2 linked regions of the Oryctolagus cuniculus genome follow. The protein of the gene in region 1 binds, or shares a complex with, the protein of each later gene. Links are inferred from orthologs where the notes say so. Each region holds a gene or a part of one and is shown in the gene's direction. Other genes may lie near its edges.

Evidence for each region.
Region 2: the proteins of NPR1 (region 1) and NPPA are in contact, whole or in part, in a crystal structure (PDB 7BRG), measured with the Rattus norvegicus proteins. The link is inferred for Oryctolagus cuniculus from reciprocal best matches to the Homo sapiens genes NPR1 and NPPA. Residues at the interface, in NP_036745.1 of Rattus norvegicus: Asp90, Val115, Tyr116, Ala119, Pro120, Arg123, Ala139, Leu140, Gly141, Ile142, Val144, Tyr148, Tyr182, Asp184, Leu186, Gly187, Asp188, Asp189, Arg190, Phe193, Phe194, Val196, Glu197, Tyr200, Met201, Arg204, His213, Gln214, Glu215, Phe216; in NP_036744.1 of Rattus norvegicus: Arg126, Ser127, Ser128, Cys129, Phe130, Gly131, Gly132, Arg133, Ile134, Asp135, Arg136, Ile137, Gly138, Ala139, Gln140, Ser141, Gly142, Leu143, Gly144, Cys145, Asn146, Ser147, Phe148, Arg149, Tyr150.

The regions. Positions count from the first base shown.
Region 1 is NC_091438.1:44,638,343-44,641,842, reverse strand, and holds part of NPR1 (atrial natriuretic peptide receptor 1), read left to right. Parts: coding exon 1-33; intron 34-1,059; coding exon 1,060-1,195; intron 1,196-1,421; coding exon 1,422-1,506; intron 1,507-2,284; coding exon 2,285-2,405; intron 2,406-3,500. UniProt on the Homo sapiens protein: Receptor for the atrial natriuretic peptide NPPA/ANP and the brain natriuretic peptide NPPB/BNP which are potent vasoactive hormones playing a key role in cardiovascular homeostasis.
Region 2 is NC_091438.1:156,614,928-156,617,942, forward strand, and holds NPPA (natriuretic peptides A precursor), read left to right. Parts: upstream 1-1,134; 5' UTR 1,135-1,217; coding exon 1,218-1,340; intron 1,341-1,460; coding exon 1,461-1,787; intron 1,788-2,375; coding exon 2,376-2,387; 3' UTR 2,388-2,515; downstream 2,516-3,015.

The DNA.
Region 1 (3,500 bases):
TGGGACATGGACCCTGAGACTGGGGCCTTCCAGGTAAGTGTGTGTGCCCAGCAGACGGGGCGAAGGTGGAGTGTCATCGCCCCTGCCCCATCTCCAGCCCTGCCAGGGTATTGGTTTTGTTTCATTTTTTAAAGATTTGTTTATGTATTTGAAAGAGTTACAGAGGGAGAGAGGGAGAGACGGAGGGAGGGAGAGAGAGAGAGAGAGAGAGAGAGAATGAGAATCTTCCATCCCTGGTTCACTCCCCAAATGGCCACATTGGCTGCAGCTGCACCAGGTTGAAGCGCTGAGCCAGGAACTCCATCCAGGTCTCCCACGTGGGTTGTGGGTGTCCAAGTACATGGGCTATTTTCAGCTGCTTTCCCAGGCCATTAGCAGGGAGGGAGCTGGATAGGAAACAGAGCAGCTGGGACTTGAACCCAGTGCCCATATGGGATATAGGTGTCGCAGGTGACGGCTCAACATGTTGCACCACAATGCTGGCCCCCGTGGGTGTTTATCCGGTTACCCTCCATACCTGGACACTCAGAAGCCCTGGATAAAAGGACCCAGCTCCAGGCTGAGAGGATTTCCGGGCATCGCCCTGAGTGAAGCTCGTGTCTGAAGAGGGAGCACAGCACGGCCCTGTGGTAGGCAGGACCCACTCCCTCGAGGGGCCACGAGGAATGCACATTACCCAGCTCTAGGCGTGCCATGAACAAGAAGGGATCGAGGCACCAAGGAGCAGATCATCCAGGGAAGGCTTCCTGGAGGAGGGACCTTTTTCCTGTTTTCTGTGTGCTGCAACCAAGATCATAAACTCCTAGTGTAGGGCTGGGGTTCTGTATGGCATTTCCTTTATCAACCCCTGGAGGAGTTTTCAGATCCTTATACATTAATGCCCTGGGCATGGGTAGGAGGTCTCCTTGTATCCAGTCACAGTGGGGGCTGGGTAAATGTTGACCACCCAGCTACAGGCCCTGGAAACAGAGAAGGGGTAGGCAGGAGGCAAGACTGTTACACTAGACAGGGGCCCTGAGCCCAGGCCGCTGCCCACCCACCACTCCTGCTGCCCTGTAGGTTGCTCTGAACTACAACGGAACTTCCCAAGAGCTGCTGGCCGTGTCAGGGCGCAAACTGTACTGGCCCCTGGGGTACCCTCCTCCCGACATCCCCAAATGCGGCTTTGACAACGAGGACCCAGCCTGCAACCAAGGTGACTGGCCCTTCCTTGTCTTCCGGCCTCTGATCCGGAGCCAATCCAGAGGCACTGCACCCTTTCCCCAAAGGAAGTCCCAGCAGGGCTCCTCTCCCACACTGCTTCCCAGGGAAAGACTGCTCCTGCCTTTCTCTTCCCTTCATCCTCACTGTCTGTTAGAAGCTTCTGCCTCCTGCAGTCTAACCCACACCTCTCCTGCTGCAACGCGGCCTCTCTCCTGCAGACCACTTTTCCACCCTGGAGGTGCTGGCTGTGGTGGGCAGTATCTCCCTGCTCAGCATTCTCATCGTCTCCTTTTTCATATACAGGTGAGCTGTGGCCGGGGCGGAGGTGGGGTGAATGGTGTGTGTGTGTGTGTATGTGAGAGAGAGAGAGACTTGGAGAACCAATCACAGAGGAGGTAGCAGGGACCCAGAGGGAAAGCCTGGTAAGATGGGGAGAAGAGACTCAGCAGCCTCAGGATGCAGAGGAAAGAAAAGGAGGAGAAAGGGGACAGGGTTAGGAGAGGCCAGGGTGGGCTGGGGGCTGGGAGGCCAAGAAGGAGCAGAGAAGTAGGGAAATGGCATCACAGGACCTTGGGCTCAGGCCTGGGCACTGGGTTCCCTTGCTGCTCCCACCGCCGGCCAGGTGGGAGGTGGCCCGTGGTAGTCGATGAGGGATGACGAGGCTAGCTGTGTCCCAGGTGCTGAACGCAGAGCACAGCAGAGTTGGATGAGCCCCCGCTCCTGCCTTCCAGTGGAGGCTAAGGTGGAGAGACAAGGGAGGCTACCGAACGGGAAAGCCAGGAGGGCGGGCGGATCAGTGTCTGTGGAGTGTGCGCCTGGAGCGTGCGCCCGGCGCCTGGCACCCCCACCCACCAGGTTTCGTTCACTCTTACAGTAGTTAAGGCCCTCAGTTTCCAAGCCAGGACACTGAGCTAAGTACCTCAAGACCCCCCATCGAGGCAGGTTTCACCCAGGTCTCCTGATGCCCCAGCCCAGGGGGTAGGATTCCTCCATCCATTGCTCAGGGTCCCCTGGCACTGAGGAGGGGCTGCTGAGCGCCCCCACCCGGGCTCGGGGCTCACACGCAGGCTTCATGCCCCAGGAAAATGCAGCTGGAGAAGGAGCTGGCCTCCGAGCTGTGGCGGGTGCGCTGGGAGGACCTGCAGCCGAGCAGCCTGGAGCGGCACCTCCGGAGCACAGGCAGCAGACTGACCCTGAGCGGGGTGAGCTCACTGGTGTTTGGGGGTGTTGGGAAGGTGATGGAGGAAAGCTGGGTACCAGGAGCCGTGCCTGAGGGGGCGGTAGAGAGCAGGTTCCAGTCCAGCTGCACCGTGACCTGCTGTGAGACCCTGAGTGAGTCGTACTCCTGCTGAGACACTTAGGAGATGATGGGAGCTGCAGAGTCTCCCCTGGAGGGGCTCTTTCGAAGGTCAGAGGATATCAGGACATCGCATTGCACCCCATGATACATATGCTTTATGTGTCAAGTTGAAAATAAAATAAGACTTTTTATAAATATTTATTTATTTACTTGAAGGGGAGAATGACACAGAGAAAAAATAAAGAATGACATAGAGAAAGATGGAACTTGATCCACTGGTTCTTTCCCTAAATGGCCTCAACAGCTGGAGCTGGTCCAGGCTGAAGCCAGGAGCCTGGAGCTTCATTTGGGTCTCCCTGAGCACAAGCCCAGGCACTTGGGCCATCTTCCTCTGCTTTCCCAGGCACATTAGAGGGAGCTGGATCAGAAGCAGAGCAGCCGGGACTTGAGCCAGTGCACTGATACGGGATGCTAGCATTACAGGCCATGGCTTATCTTGCTATGCCACAGTGCCAGCCCTAAAAAACTTTTCTTTGGAAAGACTTACTTGTTTAGTTTAAAGGCAGAGCAACAGAGAGAGAGGGAGAGATCTTCCATCCACTGATTCACTTCCCAAATGGTTGCAACAGCCATGGCTGGGCTGGACCAAAGCCAGGAGCCAGGAAACCCATCCTGGTGTCCCACAAGGGTGGCAGGGGCCCAGGTGCTCAGACCGTTGCCCACTGCCTTCCCAGGTGCGTTAACAGAAAGCTGGATCCGAAGGAGAGCAGCCAGGACGCAAACTCTCGCTCCTGTGTGGGATGCCAGCCGTGTTGCAAGCAGTGGCTTAACTCACTGCAGCATCACACTGGCTCAAAAATAAAACTTTTTAAAAAATATTTATTTGTTTGAAAGGCAGAGTTACAGAGAGGCAGAGACATAGACAGACAGAAAGACAGACAGTGGTCTTCCATCTGCTGGTTCACTCCCCAGATGACTGCAATGGCCGCAACTGTGC
Region 2 (3,015 bases), about 110 Mb from region 1:
CCTGAGAATCAGGCAGGCAGGGCAGGTGTCGACCTTGTAACCTCATTTAGCAGATAACGAAAATAAAGCCCTGGAGATGGTTCACTTGGGGCTATGAGTCTCTGAAGCCCTCAGCCCAAGTTTATGTCATATTGGATGGGATGCTAACCTTGACTTCAGCAAATGGAGGCTGCGTGCTAAGTGTGGAGAGCCTTGCTGCCCGATGCTTCTGGGGTGCTCATGGCTCAGTACTTGGCCTGGTCTCAGAGGAAGACGTGAAAGACGGCAGGGATCAGTGCCATTCTTGCCCCCACACCCTCCCTCCGTTAGCCAACTTCCCGAGGATGCTTCCCTGGGAACACAGGGGCCAATCCCAGGCTGGAGTTGAAGGAAGGAGGCAGGGTTTCCCCACTCAGTGAGGCAGAGATGTGAACGCGGCAGCATCTTCAGCGCCCACCCGCAAGGAGACTTGGGGAGGGACGATCCCGCTCCCCCAGGTTTCCTTGGTATTTATATTTAGCGGCTGAATTCTTGGGACATTCATCACATTTGTGTCCTGGCTGACTTAAGGCTATAAAAAATAACTTCTTTCCCCTGGCTGCTGAGAGGGCTGGCCAGGGTGAGGGCGGCCTGTCTGGGGCCAGCCGGCCGCCTGGCTGATGAGTCAGGTATGAAGCCAGCCCGGGCATCTGGACTCCCTCGTCCTGCTGCCCGCCCGCTTCCTCCTCTCCCACCCTTATTTGGAGCCCCTGACAGCTGAGCTGCAAACAAACCGGGGGAACTGGGCTTGGGCCAAGTGGCCCCTCTGCTTCCCCGCGTGGGTCCCGTTGCCCAGGAGAAAGAATCCTGAGGCATGGCAGGGAGATAACCAAGGACTCTTTTTTGCTCCTCTCACACCTTTGAAGTGGGAGCCTCTTGAGGCAAATCAACAAGAATGTGGCTCTTGCAGCTGAGGGTCCGGGGGGCGGCGGGGGCTGCTCAAGGCAGAGGGGCTGTGACAAGCTCTGCTGGCTGATAACTTTAAAAGGGCATCTTCTGTGGGCTCCTCACTCAGCTGCTTTATCTCTGCAAGTGACAGAATGGGGAGGGTTCCACTCCTCTTGTGCTCTCGGAGAGCCAAGGGGCTATAAAAGGAGGCTGCACTGGGCAGCTGGAAGACAGTGACGGACAAAGACCCAGGGGGAACCGAGAGGAAGGAAGAAGCAGCTAACGGCACATCACCCCCAACCAGCACCAGCATGGGCCCCTTCTCCACCATCACCGTGAGCTTCCTCTTCTGTCTGGCATTCTGGCATCCAGATCAAATTGGAGCTAACCCAGTGTACAACGCCATGTCCAACGCAGATCTGATGGACTTCAAGGTAGGGCCAGGAAGGGGGGCACAGTCTGGGGCCGGGGCGCTTTTAGATACTCGCCTGTTCCTCTCGATTTGCCCAAGTCAGTGAGCACTCTCCTTTTCCTTGTGTTTTCCTTTGGTAAAGAATTTGCTGGACCACTTGGAGGACAGGATGCCTTTTGAAGATGAAGCTGTGCCCCCTCAAGCACTAAGTGAGCAGAGTGATGAAGCTGGGGCGGCTCTCAGCCCCCTTCCTGAGGTCCCTCCCTGGACAGGGGAGGTCAGTCCAGCCCAGAGAGATGGGGAAGCCCTTGGGAGAAGCACCTGGGAGGCCTCTGAGAGATCTGCTCTCCTGAAAAGCAAGCTGAGGGCACTGCTCACTGCCCCTCGGAGCCTGCGGAGGTCCAGCTGCTTTGGGGGCAGGATCGACAGGATTGGAGCCCAGAGTGGTCTGGGCTGCAACAGCTTCCGGGTAAGAGGCACTGGGGGTGCAAATGGGTGGGGAGGAAGGAAACCGTTGGTTTGCAGGGGTTCAGACTTCATCAAAGAATCCTCACAGGAGCACCTTCATCAAGAAGGGACCTGTGTAGAAGCTTGTTTGTTCTGAGATTTCTGACCTAACTTGGGGGGGTGCGAGTCTCAGGACAATGCTATCGTCCTCGGCTACATCCTGGTGCAAAAATGCTAAGAAAAAAGAGAAGAAAAGAAAAGAAGGAAGGAAGGATGGGATGGAGGGAGGAAGGGAGGGAGGAAGGAAATGGCTGTCACTTTGGGAGAGTCTAGCATTCACAGGGCCCATCATCTTTGCATAGCTAATTGATGGTACATGTTCTTGCCAAGAATTGCGAGATTCTGAATGAGAATAGTGAAATTGACAAGGAATGCCATTACTAGCTCTGATGAGTAACTAGTTTACCGGTTTATGAAACCCAGGGCATCATCAGGCTGGAGTGGAGACTAGTGGGGAAGCTTTGTCAGGAGGTTTGGCACAGTCATGGGAAGCTGACTGTTCTGGTACAGTCAGGCCAGCAAGCCGAATGTGTTTGTGTTCACTTTGTAGTACCGAAGATAACAGCCAGGGAAGAAAGGCGGCCAGGTGCCCTCGGCCCACTGCAGGAACCCTCCTCCTCCTGCGTCTCTCAAGTCACTTTGTCTCATCTCATTGCATCGAGTCGTTACTGCACCTTATCTGAGCTGCAGCTTCTTGTCAACATTTCTCACACTTTGCTACCTGTAAAGCAGTCAAACTGTGACTTCTCCTCTCTCACCCAAAGCATTAACACTTAGTGTAGATCCTCACGTGTTACTGAGAGTCGATTGGAAAAAAATGAATAAACTTCAGCACCACGGACAGCGGCCATGACTTGGATTGTGGTTTCTTTTTCTTTTTTTTGCTTGATTTGTGCCTTTTATTTTTAAACATGCAAGGGGACTGATGAGGTTAGAGGGGGCACATTATTATGCCCTGACAGTTTGAATGTCTTGTGGTTGCCCGGTTTATCTTCTACTTCCTATTTTCAATCGAAGTAAAATAATCTTTAATTAGAAAATGAAAAATAATCTAAACAATAAATTCAAGCCATTGGCTCAGGTCTATTGGTTCATTATTAATAAGTGAATATATAAAACTACTAGTAACCATGTAGTATTGGACATTTTCACTCATGCATTAGAATATTAATACTCTAAAATCAGAACTG